2 linked regions of the Arabidopsis thaliana genome follow. The protein of the gene in region 2 purifies or fractionates together with the protein of the main gene of each other region. This does not show direct contact. Each region holds a gene or a part of one and is shown on either strand. Other genes may lie near its edges.

Region 1 (9,068 bases), on a different chromosome or scaffold from region 2:
AACAAAATCAAGATGATATCTTTAAAAAGCCTTATACTGTATGTCATGTTCAAAAATAGAATTTAAACTTAGAACAAGTTTTGAAAAGGGTAGGCTTATCAGTGGGATAAACAACAATCAAGACGATTTTACAATCGCACAACAGTGCTACTCTTCTGCCTTCTTGAAAAGTCTTTTTTTTTACGTTTTAATTATTTACTACTTCTTCTTTTATGTATTTTTTTTGTGTAGACTCTCGTAAATGTATACATAAAAACCAAAGTTAGTAGATTTTAGTTGTAGTAATTAGTTCTTGTCTAAAATGCCTTTTTTGAAAAAAATCTTAGGAAAATGCCATTTTTAAATGGTGTACGGATTTATCTTTTTTAACATTTTAAAATGTATGTATTTACGATTTTGATTTTGCAAAAATACGTACTTTATACTAAACTAGAAAGTCTCACGCGCTGTATGAGTTCGAATTAATATAAGAAATTATAAAAAAACTATATAAAATAAATTAATCAGACAATATATTTGTTTATCATTTTTATTGCCAAGTGAGAAAACTTATTAACCTATCGTTTGCACTCTCATAGACGTGGTTGACATATAACACTACATAGCAAAACGTTTCTCGTAGTTTAGAAGGTTCTTTCTATGTATATGTTTTTGAGCATAAGAAATCTTTTGTGGTGGTGACGTGGTGTTGAGTACTAGATCTAAGATATGTTACAAGAATAACCCAATTTAGAAAAACTTAGATAGGCAAGAACTTATAGGAAGTCTAAGTGCCAGTCTGAAGACATATTCACACCACACACTTGTCTAATAATAATAAGGCAGTGCATAATACTTTACATGAGACATTAATTTTTCTAACAGCTTAACGCAACGAAAAGATACCGTTTTAAAGATTCTCCTCCTAACGAAAAACTACTCACTGTTCTGAGAAATAACTTGTCCAAACCGAAGAAACAGTTGAGCATCAGAAGCACTCATGGAAGAGCAATTGACAGAATGAGGAGTCTTGAGATTTGCATACTCATCGACGTAGCACGAACCAGCCAGCGTCGCTGACGTGTCAGTCGCAGCAGGTGGTTGTTCCGATAGCATAAAACTGCCGAGAACACGAGTCACCTGGTGCATTGTGGGTCGATCATTCGGCTGTCTTTTGGTGCATAGGAGTGCCAGTTGGAAAACTTTCTTCACCACACCGAGATCTTTACACGTCGATGTGATGTCTGGATCTGCCATTTCCATCACTTCATTGTTCCCCGTCTTTGACATTATCTGATGTAAGTGAATCAATGAAAACAAGATTACGGACTTGACCTAAACAGAGCAGCTGAGAGAGATAGGCAAGAAAGAACAAACCAGATGGTGGAGATTGGATTCGTCATCAACGGCTTTCCTTCGGGTTAACAACTCAAGAAGGACTATTCCATAACTGTAGACATCGGATTTCTCAGTGAGCCGTGAAGTGCGAGCATACTCGGGGTCTATGTAACCTATCGTGCCCATCACGTAAGTTGAAGTATGTGACTTTGACACACACAAGCTTTTCGCTATTCCAAAATCTGTCAAACGAGCCTCTAAGTCTTTGTCCAAGAGAATGTTGGACGACTTCACGTCTCTGTGAATGATCCTTGGACTACAGTCATGGTGTAGATAAGCTAAACCTTGTGCTGCACCATATGCTATCTTAAGCCGTGTGTCCCAATCAAGAGTCTTTTTCTTCGTAGGGCCTTTACAAAACACACAAGCAAGTTGTTATGTCACAGAAGATTCAAATAATTTTCTATGTTTGGCGATGAGACTTACCATGAAGAAGATCCCAGAGGCTACCATTTTCCAAATAGTCATAGAACAGAAGACTCCCCAAGTGAGAGAGGGAATAAGCTTGTAGGCTCACAAGATTTCTGTGCTTGATGCTACTTAGCATCTCGAGTTCTGTTTCAAACTGTTTCATTGACTGTGGGTTGTGAGAGTAAAGCCGCTTAATCGCAACCGGTTTACAATTCTTCAAAACACATTTGTATACAGTGCTTGATGCTCCGTGCCCAATGATATACTTCTCACTTAGATTCTCTGTCATTCTCATGATATCCTCGTAAACGTGGAGTGCCATGTTCATATGAAGGATGACGAGCTTCGGTGTCGAATAAGTTACTGATGTCACCAGGAAATTTAAGGATTAACTATTGGATTACATTGTAGGTGAAGAACATTCGTAAAGTGGTTTGGAGAGTAGACCTGGTTTGTCAAGTGATCCATCAAGAAAAGGAGGAGGATTATGCGGTCGGCAAGCTGCTATTAAGACCATGAGAAGGATCACAAGTCCCCCAATAGCTATTCCAAGAATAGCTGCTCTAGAGATTGACACTGCAGACAAAACATGGATAGAAACATGAGCTTTAATTATCTTAGGTTTTGTGAATGGAAGCTTTTAGAAGAATGTAATCACCTCGTACAGTTCGACGAGAATCATGACACGGTGAGTTTAGCCAACTACCGCAAAGACCAGGATTGCCAATGAAGCTTTATCCAAAAACATAAACATAGATATTAGCAAACAAAACAAAATGCACAATACCAAAACCTGCTAAATTACCATACCTGTCTGGTGAAAATCTTGAGAAGTTATTGTTCTTAGGGATATCACCTACGAGGTTGTTATGAGATACATTCCTATAAGAGTTAGTGAAGATTGCAGGGTTATATTCTTAGCAAAAGATGCACAAAGAGGGACAAAAAATGTTTCAGAACCAAAGGTGCCTACTTACAATACAGTGAGACTGAGACAGTTGGCTAATGAACCAACATTACCAGTCAGGTTATTATTTTCCAGTCTCCTGCAAGCAATTTTAAGAAACACAACATTAGATAGATCACCAACCCAATACATGTTCCTGGATCACACTATAGTGACCTCATTATTGTGTATACAGAGTTTTAGTTTCATTCTACAAAAACAATTTCTTAACAGCTTGGAAGGGATAAGAGGAAGATTGCTTACAGCAAAATTATGTTCTGTAATTGGTTAAGCTCTTCTGGAATTGGGCCAGAGATATCATTATTTGAAAGATCTCTGCAACCACAAACACACAAATTCAGAACAGTAATTGAGATAAATGAAAAAAACTCTAACCAAGCAGATAGAAGTTAACTTCTTACATTTCCATGATGCTTCTTAGATTTCCAAAGTCGCCTGGAACTACACCAGTTATATGATTTCTACTCAAGTTCCTATAACAAGAATGCAAGAGTTCACAAACCATTTTCATCTTTTGCTAGAAATAAACAATAAAACTGGAGGTCTTATGGATGCTCACATCTTGAGAAGATGCTCCAAATCACCAAGGGAAGAAGGAATGATTCCATTTATCTTGTTGTTGGAAAGATCCCTTCAAATGTCATTAAATTTAATAAATGTGAGACAAGGCACATATAATGATGTATACTTCACAGAAAACAAGAAACACTTACAATGTATCTAAGTTACCGATACGAGATAGCTCAACCGGGATTGGACCTTTGATATTGTTGCTGGACAGATTACTGGTTGAACCGATAAATCAAAGGCAACCAAAAACTCAGTAGTTAATGACTTGAAATTCGAAAAAACAAACGCTGTGGAACTATATATTATATAAGATTAGAGAAATTCTCAGCGTCGATACTTACAGGTAAGTCATACTTTCTAGCTTTTGAAATGCTCGGGGTATAGTGCCACTAAACTTGTTCCCATGAACATTTCTACATTACATTAATGAGACACAAAATCATATAAAGCACCAATCTTGAACATTCAAGTGAGAAGTTTTCAGAGAAAGAGATACATACAAGCTGTTTAGATTTGTGCAAGAGCTCAGATGATCAGGTATAGGTCCTTCCAGATCATTGTTGGCCACATTCCTATATGTACATAGTTCATATAAGCATAAGAACATCAAAACATGTCAAGCATAGGAAGAACTACTTACAGATCAAACAAGTCAGTAAGCTTCCCAAGCTCTGGTGGTATATGACCCGTGAGATGATTATCATTGAGTTCCCTATGAATATTTTACAAATAGTTGATAAGGAAACACAACTTAGTAGTGACTGTATGCAAAAAGAGAAGTGAAGAGAAGGTTGGTCATACAGGTAATGGAGTTTTGACATGTTTCCAAGCTCAGGTGGAATTGAACCAGTCAGCTTGTTACTGTGCAAATACCTAGAGATAAAGCCAAAAAGATAAATCACTATCATTAACATGGTATGACATTTGACTCCAAACTGAAAACAAACAGGTAAAGAATTACAATTTCTCGGTGAAAGTAAGATTTCCGAGAATCGGAGGAATAGATCCACTCAACAAGTTGCCACTTAGATCTCTGTAAAAGAAAACATATAACCTAAGTTCATGAAAATGTTATAAGTAGCTTCATTGATTAGAAGAAAAGTACTTACAAGACTGCAAGGGCTTGCATGAGACCAATCACTGATGGAATCTTCCCAGAGAGTTGATTGCCTTGCAATGATCTAAGATAAGAAAATGATCTTCTTTAAAAGAAAACAAAGGCTAGCCAAAATTTAAAGCAAAAGATTAGTAGAGGTGAGAACTAACAATGTTGCAACTTGCAGGAAGCCGATGTCAAAAGGGATCTCACCAGTTAGCTGATTGTAGGACAAGTCCCTGAGTTCGTAATAAGCAAACCAGTTAAGTAGATTTTCTTAAGTAACCCAAATTACAGTAATGATGTTTAGAAGTAGAGAAAGAGGCACATACAAAACCTGGAAGGCAGTGCAATTTCCTATCGTCTCAGGTATACTACCAGTCAAACTGTTGTTTCTTACGTCACTGATTCAATATCAAAACAAAGTCAGATATTTGATATTTACAAAAGAACTCATCATACTATTCAGATGTGCAAGAAGACTCACAAATACCAAAGACCAGTCAGTTGACACAAATCTGGAGAAATGTTACCGACTAAGTTGTTTCCTCGCAACCCACTGCTCATCATAGTACAACAATTATCACCGGGTAATGAAGAGACATTGACAGACTTCAAAAAACATTGACACTTACAGATACTGAAGAACTTCATTCCAGTAAATAAGTCTTGGTATCTCACCACTGAGTTTATTCTGTGCCAAGTCCCTGCAATTGAAATTACACATGTATGATCACCTATATAGCTAAAAGTAGTAAGACATGTAAGAATCATGGGGAACATACAGAATTTTCAGGTTTGGAATCTGTGAAAGTGTTGAAGGGATCGGTCCTATCAATTGGTTATTCTTCAGAATCCTGGACAAAGTAAAAATCCATATTCCACATGGTGAGTATATTTTTAGCAATGACATATGAAGACTAGTAGCAGAATAACTAGCTACTTACAGCTGCTCAAGTTGCTTCAACTTCGAAATCGAAAACGGTATGTCACCACTTAATTCATTGAAGGATAAGTCTCTGAATAAAAAACAACATGAACACACTTCATCAAATAAAACCTCTATGAACAAAAGTTTAATGGTAGAATAACACCAATCACTGTTCTTACAAGTTTTGCAAAGAAGAACAGTCACCAATCTCATCAGGGATTTGTCCAGACAAGCGATTACCTCGCAGATCACTACATTAGAAAAAAACAGAAGACAAAAGTCACAACTCAGAGAGTGGAATAGAATTAAAGTAAGATACTTTATTTCATGCTACAGTGAATGTTGAAACAGTTACATTGACAAGAGACTCTTGAGATCTCCAATAGCAGGTGAGATTTCTCCATCAAGATTCAAATCTGACAAATTACTACAAAACATAGAAAACACACACAAAACAAATTACAACTTTTTCCCACAAGAACACCAAAAACCACTGTAATAGTAATCTAAAGGAATGAAGAAACTTACAGAGCAACAACATTGAAGGTGACATTTTCACAAGACACACCTCTCCAGACACAATAATCCGAAGAAGGTGAAGTTGTCCAGTCATAAAGAACATTGTTCACATCTTTGAATGACTTCTTAATCTCCAGCAACGTTGCTCCTTTAATTTTGTTTTAAGGATATTTTATTAACACACACGCACAAAAACAAAAAAAAATATTTGTCAGTTCTTGAGAAGATTAAAAATTCAACTTCCAAGAAAACAAAATAAAACTCAAACCCTAATTTATTCAAAGCTTCTTTTGATTCTATAGAAGACCCACCAAGTAAAAAAAAACCATTACAAAAAGCAAAAATAGAAAATAACAAGTACCCAGATCTCATTTTCACCAAATGAAACTTCAAAAATCATATAAAAATCTCATCTTTAAGTTTTTTTCACTAATATAAAACAAAAAGACGAAAATCTTGAACTTGAAGAAGCATGCATCAGTATAATAACTGACCCTCCTCTGAAGTCACAGTAGCTACTAAGCTCAAGCAGAAGAGAAACCCAAGAAGAACAATATCTCTAAACAGAGCCATTTCTCACACACAGTCTTAAAACGACTGCGTTTTTAGATATACTTTAAAAGCTTTCAAGTCTCCATGAAGAAGAAACAGAGGATAGAGAAGAAGAAGAGAACCGTATTATGTACCGACATTAGATTTTTTTTCTTTCTTTTATTATGATTTCTACAGAAATTTGTTTTTGTTTTTTTACTTTAACCGAGAAAAAATGATTTTTATCGTTCCATCACATCAAATTCTGGCGGAAATTTACAGTGGTTTCATTGAGTGCTCAGACGACAGAAATACAGAGTAAGATAGAGATGGAGAGAGAAAGAGAGAGAGTCTTTAAAGAGAGGAGATTGTACAAATGTAGGGACCTGTTGTGTAAGAGAGAGAGATGAAGGGAAGAAGAATTATTTGGGGAGGATAAAGTTAAAAACCCCATCATCTTTTATCTCTCTGCCAGAGTTCTGAAGCTTTGCAGAAGAGAGAGATAGAGTGAGTGAGAGGGAGTGATTTTGTTTCTCTCTCTTGAAGGGTAAAACGGTCATAAAATGTAGAAGAAGAAGGAGAAGAAGAACATGTTAATGGCAGTGGTGAATAAAGGAGGTCGCTTTCGTTGCCCAATACTTACGAGTCTTTGTCTCTCTGTGGCTTGTTTCACAGATGACCCATATCAATAAATCCATCTTATGGGTACTTTTGTAATTATGTATTTTTATATGATTTTAGTGTAATTTTTTTGTTTGCTTAACATGTTCTTCTTCATCTTCTTACTTCAATTACTAATTTAAATTCAGGAGTTTACAAAAAGTTTGGTTCAGTTTTCTCTTCTTTAATTATTAGTATAGTTGTTGTGTTTTTGTCAACGTTTTTTAGTATAGTGAACGTGTGATTTCTAAGTGTTTTTGTTTATTACTAAATTTAGAAATATGCATGCCAATGATTTTTGGTTTAGCATCAACACAAAACTTAATAAAATATGATTGGTTTTAGGATGTTAACCGGTTTGGTTGGCTCCGGTCGGTTTGTCACAAAATTAATATTTTGAAGCTTTGAGAACGAAGTGGACTAAAACTAAAAGGGTCACAGGCCCAACAAAAGAAGGAAGAACTTAAAAAATAATAATTCCTTTTCATTTTAACTTCTCTTTTTTTTTTTGTTAAATCATTTATTTGTTTCAATAAAAATACACATAATATTATCTTTTCTCAAAAAGTACTATATAGTTAGAAAACTACATATTTATTTTAACCCAAATTATTATTTTTCCATTCCTTACACACTGTACGTTACACTTTTTATTATCATTTGCTGTACAACGTTAATATTTTTAACCATTTCTGCAATTGTTTACCTCTTTTTCATCCGCAAATTTCTAATTAAATTATATGTTGAATGTTCATAGCCATAATAATAATTTGTCCAACGGAGATAAGACGCCTCTGGTGTTATCCCCAATGTCGTCACTCCACGCTACCGTGAGCCTCCCACTGTTCTCCAACTCAAACCACAAAAAGCTAACGTGCGCAGCTACATTATCACCTCCGCCATGGAAACAGAGCCGGCGAGTTATCTCCGTCTCCTTTTTTCTCTCCCGTCTCCTCCTCCTCCCTAACGGTACACGCATCTCTCTTCAAATTCACCAATCCGATTCTCAATTTCACGAACTCGATTTTCAATATCACCAATTCGACTTTTGTTCATTTCAAATTTGGTTATTTATATGTTGATGATGATGATCAGATGCTATGGCTGGTGGCTTAATGGATAAATTGGATAAATACGTCAAGAGGTAACATTAAATCGTCTCCGATGCTTATTCCTTTGAATTCTGAAGTTAGATTTTGAAATGTTTGGTGAATTATCTAAAACTTAAAACCAGTTATTGAATAGGAAGAAACTTGATCCACTTGAAGCATATGTACCACCAGTGATTCTAGCTCAGTTACAAATCCAGGATCTTGGTAAAATTTCTCTGTTTTTTTGTTACACATTTGTTCTTAAAACTCTTGCTATATAAAACTTACACTCATGTTTATTTATGATGTTGGAGAGGGATTTTTGAATGTGGAGAAACCTGAATTTGAGGCGTGTAGACGCCAATTGCGGTCTGGTCCTGCTAGCTCTCTTCGTGTAAACATTCGAGCTGTAAGTTTTTAAAGCTCACTTGATGTCACTCATTTGGTTTCTGTTTGATGATGAAATGTGTAATGCAAACTCTTTCAGGTTGCTCAGTATGCTTCAGATGATGGTTTCTCCAAAACCGCCACTGATGATGTTGATCGATGTTTAAGGTACCGACAATGTTTGAATGAATGATGATGACCTTTGCGTGTGTAATTTATGTTGGCTTTTCCTTCTATAGAGCATTGGAAGAACTGGATTCGTTGTTTCTACGTGCGTCGAGGAAAGATTCAAATGCAACTGTTGTATTGATGAAGTCACAGCTTGGAACAGCGTTAACCGCACTGGACAGTCTTCTACAAACAGTTCCTTCTCAAGTGCTTGATAAAGGGAAAGCTATGGTGGAAGTCTACAGATCAGCATCTGAAGAAGATGCGGGAAGTGATGATTTAGAATCCTCTGAGATAAAGCAGCTCCAGTCCATACTGTGAGAGGGGAGGTCACAGGACTATTACTATCCAAAAACAGTT
Region 2 (6,562 bases):
AGAAGGCTAAGATGTTGTTGAAGCCTGACAAGTCCGTTGTCACTGAGCCACATCACATCTGGCCCTCTCTCACTGATGATCAATGGATGAAGGTAACTCTTCTGCCACTTTCCAAGTACTTCTTCTTGCTATATTCTTTTATTTGATAGGATCCCTCTTTACATTCTATATCTGCTGTTTTTATTTACTAGTGAGTTATGTGATATATAGCTTTTACTTTCTTCTCTTTTTTTGAAATAGTCCTTCCTTACTCACGATCATGTTAAATTCAGGTGGAGGTAGCACTTAGAGATCTTATTCTTTCTGACTACGCAAAGAAAAACAATGTGAATACCTCAGCTCTGACACAATCAGAGATCCGAGATATTATTCTTGGAGCTGAGATTACTCCACCCTCTCAACAGAGGCAACAGATAGCTGAGATTGAGAAACAGGTACTCGTAACTGTTACTTCTATGTTCTATCAGGTTTTCTAACAAACACAAACATTGTGAGAGTGGACTGTGACTATTATTCTTTGTTCACTGTAAATCTATATCCTATTTGCAGGCAAAGGAAGCCAGCCAGCTTACTGCAGTCACAACAAGAACTACAAATGTTCATGGTGATGAGCTCATTGTCACCACCACAAGCCCTTACGAGCAATCTGCATTCGGTTCCAAGACAGATTGGCGTGTACGTGCAATATCAGCCACTAATCTTTACCTTAGAGTCAATCACATATATGTGAACTCAGATGACATAAAGGTTAGAATCCAATTCACTTTGTCAATTAAGTAAAAGCCTTTCAGGTGTCGACCTTAAACACTGTCTGTTGTTGTCACAGGAAACCGGATACACCTACATCATGCCAAAGAACATTTTGAAGAAGTTCATATGCGTTGCGGATCTTCGTACTCAAATTGCTGGGTATTTATATGGTATTAGTCCCCCGGATAATCCCCAGGTGAAGGAGATCCGTTGTGTTGTGATGGTGCCACAGTGGGGAAATCATCAGCTAGTTCACCTGCCGTCATCTCTTCCTGAGCATGATTTCCTAAATGATCTTGAGCCCTTGGGATGGTTGCACACACAGCCTAACGAGCTGCCTCAGCTATCACCACAGGTATATATATATATATATTTATCTTTACCTTCTGTTAACCTCATTGCTAACTGATCTTTTCTTTGATAGGATGTAACCTCTCATTCCCGTATTCTGGAGAACAACAAGCAATGGGATGGAGAAAAATGCATCATCCTGACCTGCAGTTTCACTCCGGGCTCCTGCTCTTTGACGTCATATAAGTTGACCCAAACCGGATATGAATGGGGGCGGCTTAACAAGGACAATGGCAGCAATCCTCACGGTTACCTTCCCACCCATTATGAAAAGGTTCAGATGCTGCTGAGTGACCGGTTCCTCGGGTTTTACATGGTAAGACAACAGAGTTTGCAATTGTGCTTTTGTCCTTGGATGATATAAACCATTGAAATCTGATTTTTGTAACTGATGTTATGATAGGTTCCTGAGAGTGGACCGTGGAACTATAGCTTCACTGGAGTGAAGCACACGTTGAGCATGAAATACAGTGTCAAACTCGGATCCCCAAAGGAGTTCTATCACGAGGAGCATCGACCCACTCATTTCCTGGAGTTCAGCAACATGGAGGAGGCTGACATTACAGAGGGAGATCGCGAGGACACATTTACTTGAGATATACTCAATTTTCTTACCGTGTGTGTGATTTAGCTTTATTTTGCAGTATAGACTTGTAAGATGTTGTACTGTCTTGTGCTTTACTGAGATAGATAGTAAGGTCCCTAAATCTTAAAAAGATGGTTTGCCACTATAATCAAAATCTTGAATGTGATGTAATCATACGTACGTGTATAACGGAATTTTGGTAACTAACGTCTTCGATGAGAGAAAATAAAACGACAAATTTAAACTATTTTAAGAGGTTTTTCCCATTTCGAATAAACGCCAAATGTACAAAACATGGAAGAACAAGCAATACAAGTCTCTTATCTCCGGAAAGATAAAACAGAGATCAAAGAACAGAGTATATAGACAGAAGGAACACGTTCGAGCTTACAAGTTTTTTTTGTAGCCATAAATGGTGGCGATATTCAATCCAACTAATGCAGAAAAGGCATCTAACTAACATTATTAAACTCGGGAAGTATTTACAGCAGTTTTATCATCCCTCCTCTAACTAGATATTAGCATAAAAATGAAATTAGGGAATACAAGAAAGAATGCAGAAAGATAGGAGAACCCCAAAGACTTGGAAGTGCTTGACACGTCCGTAGCTCCGTCCGGCAAAGCACCGTCTTCTTCTCTAGATAGGTGCTGGACCGTACCGGAAGGAGCTGGTCTCGACGTTTCTGCATCACACAATCTTACAGTTGAACCAGATTTTGAACCGAATGCATCATCCAAGTCACTGTCCCGGTTAACACACAAACCAGCATTGTTATACAGCCTCAGCTTTCTCCTCATCCTCCACACTGTGTCTCTCTCGAACGGTACTGGTCCTGTCAGACTGTTATCGTTGAGCCTCAGCTCGCTTAGATGCTTCACGTCCCGGAACTCCAAAGGAATCTCTCCGGTCAGATTATTGCCCTCTAGGTGAAGGACCCGAAGACTGTTTAACCGAGTCAATGATTTCGGTATCGAGCCCTGGATGTTCGTATTCGAGAGAACAAGAATCATCAAGTTCTTGAGCCCTTTGAACGCGTTTTCAGGAATCGTTGTTGAGAATTTTGTGTTGCCTTTGAGCATTAAAGCTTGAAGAGAGTTTAGGCCTTGGAGAGAAGACGGGAATGGACCTGATAACCGGTTATAGCTCAAATCCAAAAGCACTAATTGGTTGAGCCGGTTAATCGATTCTGGGATAGGACCAGTGACTCTGTTTCGGCTAAGATCGATTTTGATCAACGATCCACAGCTTGTGAGTGTGGGTGGAACCGGTCCGGTTAAAAGATTCTGGTTCAAATCCAGAACGCTCAGCGCCGGAAGAACAAAACCGGGAATGGAACCAGTCAACCGGTTACCACTCAAATCAAGCGATCTTAAACCGGAGAACCGGTTGAACGACAAGGGAATGGAGCCGTTGAGGTGATTTTTATGCAAATCAAGAACTTTCAAATTGGTGAGATTGCCCAATTCGTCAGGGATAGGTCCCAAAAAACCATTCTCCCTCAGAACCAGCGTTTGCAGACTCGAGCCGAGGCGTCCCAGAAACGCCGGTATGCGCTGTGGGGCGCGGCCTAAACATCGGTAGAAGAACAAGGCTTTGAGGTGTTTGAGCCTCGTGAGGGACTCAGAGACGTAAGAGCGTTGTGGATCACAAGTCGGAAACGCCGTGTCGTCTGAGAGCGCTCCGAACGACAGAGAGACCACGTGGTAGACGTTATCCTGGTCCGGCATACACTCGATCCCGTGCCATCTCCCTCGGCAAACGTCTGGAATCGCGGCAGCCCAGTCGTTGCCGGTCGCACGCATAATGTCGTAGACGGCGTCTTGCTCGTCAGGCTCCGTGCGAGCGCCGTCATTGGTCATCGTGAATCCAGTTTGTGGGCCGTCGATCAGAGCAGATGGGGCCGTCGAGTCGGAGGTGATCACAGTGAAAGATCTGACCAACGGAGAAACTATAGACAAGACAATGAATATTTGGCGGAAGAATTCATATCGTGCCATTTCTTAGTTGTTGTTGTTGTGTGAATGCGGTTTAGGTTCGAAATTGTCAGTGTGTATATGTATAATTCTGAAGAAACAATTGGTGGGTCCATAAAAACGTTCGCAATGTCTTTATGACTTTCACGGGATAACTCGAGGAGCGAAATAAATAAAATTCATGATTCTCGATTTCTGCATTTATTGCTTTCACGAGATATTCCCTTCATTCGTCTTGTGTTGGGCCCTAGATCCGACCGCTTCGTGAACGGGACCCGACGTCTCCTTATCGTTTACTTTTTTTTTATTTGGGCTGAGCCCATTTTCCCATTTACGATATGTTGGGCTATTATTCAATTTGTATTTTGAACTGGGCACTGTATTTGTTTTTGTAACAAACCGTAGATAGCAATTGATAAAAAGTTTCATATGTTTGATTCTGAACCTTAAAATCATTATTTTGTTGTAACACGAGAATCTGAATAAACGGACGCGTGGTCTGTGCATACGAAAAGCACATGCCCATGGAGCAACACATGTAATACGTGTCATCTTACTAGTAACATGACATATATGAATAATGAAGTAACTACGAAAGCATCAAAACAAAGATTAGAAGTTCATAAGCCTCGTCCCATTTTCTTTGAGACTTTGACTATCACCCAAATACAAATCTTCATGCAGTCGTACAGCCGTCTGATGCAGTTCAAGGTCAAAGATCTGATGATCGACAAGCGGCGGCTGGTCGAAGTTCCTGATAATGCCACTCTAGGGGACGCCTTGAACACTATGGTAAACCACGGCTAAATAATTGTTATTTTTTTGGTTGGAGTCAACCGTTTTAAGTATCAAGAATTACTAACAAGACTATTCTTGGTATCAAACCGGTGGCAAACCGAGTTAGAGCTGTACCGGTGGCTGCCAAACCAGGCCAATGGCTGGGAGCCGGGGGATCAATGATAGTAGAGTTGGACAAACAGAGCGGAAGTGCAAGAAAACAGTACATAGGAATGGTGACCATGCTCGACGTTGTGGCTCACATCGCCGGCGATGACGGCGAGAGTGGGCTTGATAAGAAAATGGCTGCCCCTGTCTCTTCTATCATTGGTCATTGCCCTGAGGGTCTTAGCCTCTGGTCTCTCAATCCTAATACCAGGTTAATAGTATAGAAGATTTGTAAAATTAAATTGCTTTCAGTATAATTAATCCTTCCCTTTTATAATGTTAGATGTTGTACACTTTTCTCACATAGTAAGAATTCTTTTGCAACACCTAATATATATACCCATATTTCAGTCATTAATTGTTTATAGTTTCATATTTTTTATAATTCAAACTAAATGATAAATTAGAAATTATAATGCAAATTTTTCATAGAAAAATGCAAAACATTTTTCTCTTGTCAAAAATCTTAACATTATATATGAACGGATAGAGTACTAATCAAAGATGGTCATTGATGAAAGCAGCATCATGGATTGTATGGAGATGTTGAGTAAAGGAATCCACAGGGTATTGGTTCCATTGGACAGTAATACAGAAAATATAACAGGACCTGAGTTGGTAGAGTCAGCTTCTGCTTACGCAATGCTGAGTCAGATGGATCTCATCTCTTTCTTCTTCGACCAATCCTCTCAATTGCATGGTATCCTCTCCCACACCGTCACTGATCTCTCCGCTATTCACAACACTGTTTTAGCCCTCACTAGCCAGGTAAATTTCACAAGTCAAGAATTTTCATCTTTATTCATTAAATCCTAAGTTAAACGCTTGTAATGTTTAATACCAGGCTAGAGTGAAAGATGCAATACAATGCATGAGTATAGCAATGCTCAATGCGGTTCCTATCGTCGAAGCCTCTGGTGAGGGAGAGGATCATAAACAGCTCGTCGACGTAGGTGTCTTTACTTATACATGTATCTATCAGTATCTATTAAGATCAAATGTTGATTAATTTGGTGTTTGCTGGTGCAGGGGAAAAATCGGAGAGTGGTGGGGACATTCTCGGCTAGTGATCTGAAGGGATGTCATTTAGCCACATTGCGTTCGTGGTTGCCGCTAAATGCACTAGAGTTCGTCGAGAAAATCCCAAGAACTCTCTTGTTCACCGCTGCTACCTCAACACCAGGGAGGGAGCTCGTGACGTGTCACGTGACATCAACCTTGGCCCAGGTGATCCATATGGTCACCACGAAACGTGTACACAGAGTTTGGGTCGTGGACCAGAACGGTGGGCTACAAGGCCTTGTTTCTCTTACTGACATCATCGCTGTGGTCCGATCCGCTTTGCTTTCCGGAGCTCCGGATCTGTTTTAACTCGCAACTTTCAGTCTTCTCTCCAATTACTCAAATTTTCTTTTATTTGTTTCTTAGAGAAAATTTACACAATTTTGCGTTTTTCATCTCAATGACTCATCATATCGAATGTTAACATCACATTTACGTAACACATAAGAAAAATATAGGGAAATGATATAAATAGAAAAAATGTCAAAGCAAAGGAATGACGAATTTCTACCAAAAGAATATCTTATAAACACAAATAAACATGTTAACAAAATTGCACATGGAATAATCCCATTAAGGAAAAAATATTGTACATGGATAATAAAAGAAAACAAAGCAATCATAGAAATTATGAAATACTGAGAGGGTAGTGATTAATGAATAGGGTACTCGAGCACGGGGCGCAAAGAAGCATGACATACGAATGAGACAATTTCAGTTTTCGTATATAATAATTCCATAATCATAATTTAATCACTAGTTTTAATTGGTAACATAACCTTAAAAAAGCATCCACTCATTATGCGCTCCACTTTACTACTTACTCTGATAACATGAAAAAGTATATGTTTAATACTAGCTAGTTGTTTGTTCCGTTTCCAAGCACGCTCTTTC

What was found. Proteins that work in one complex are often made in the same cells at the same time.
Region 1: the proteins of TMM (region 2) and ER purify together in Arabidopsis thaliana (affinity purification with western blotting, with the first as the bait; one study listed by BioGRID). This does not show direct contact.

What each region holds. Positions count from the first base shown.
Region 1 is NC_003071.7:11,207,452-11,216,519, forward strand, and holds ER (Leucine-rich receptor-like protein kinase family protein), read right to left. Parts: upstream 7,212-9,068; 5' UTR 6,445-7,211; coding exon 6,366-6,444; intron 6,020-6,365; coding exon 5,881-6,019; intron 5,780-5,880; coding exon 5,708-5,779; intron 5,604-5,707; coding exon 5,532-5,603; intron 5,441-5,531; coding exon 5,369-5,440; intron 5,279-5,368; coding exon 5,207-5,278; intron 5,129-5,206; coding exon 5,057-5,128; intron 4,981-5,056; coding exon 4,909-4,980; intron 4,826-4,908; coding exon 4,754-4,825; intron 4,661-4,753; coding exon 4,592-4,660; intron 4,507-4,591; coding exon 4,435-4,506; intron 4,359-4,434; coding exon 4,287-4,358; intron 4,199-4,286; coding exon 4,127-4,198; intron 4,038-4,126; coding exon 3,966-4,037; intron 3,898-3,965; coding exon 3,826-3,897; intron 3,739-3,825; coding exon 3,667-3,738; intron 3,541-3,666; coding exon 3,469-3,540; intron 3,387-3,468; coding exon 3,315-3,386; intron 3,229-3,314; coding exon 3,157-3,228; intron 3,071-3,156; and 17 more. Other genes in the region: AT2G26340 (uncharacterized protein), read left to right, coding at 7,803-8,031, 8,158-8,206, 8,308-8,378, 8,468-8,562, 8,650-8,708, 8,780-9,025. UniProt on the Arabidopsis thaliana protein: Receptor kinase that, together with ERL1 and ERL2, regulates aerial architecture, including inflorescence (e.g. shoot apical meristem-originating organ shape, elongation of the internode and pedicels, and adaxial-abaxial polarity), and stomatal patterning (e.g. density and clustering), probably by tuning cell division and expansion.
Region 2 is NC_003070.9:30,125,879-30,132,440, forward strand, and holds TMM (Leucine-rich repeat (LRR) family protein), read right to left. Parts: upstream 3,772-6,562; 5' UTR 3,686-3,771; coding exon 2,195-3,685; 3' UTR 1,941-2,194; downstream 1-1,940. Other genes in the region: SUS2 (Pre-mRNA-processing-splicing factor), read left to right, coding at 1-92, 273-434, 550-747, 827-1,105, 1,175-1,417, 1,505-1,696; CBSX4 (Cystathionine beta-synthase (CBS) family protein), read left to right, coding at 4,340-4,453, 4,549-4,817, 5,131-5,374, 5,451-5,555, 5,636-5,977. UniProt on the Arabidopsis thaliana protein: Promotes cell fate progression in stomatal development. In leaves, needed to correctly orient spacing divisions, to limit the number of asymmetric divisions in neighbor cells, and to promote the asymmetric (amplifying) divisions of meristemoids.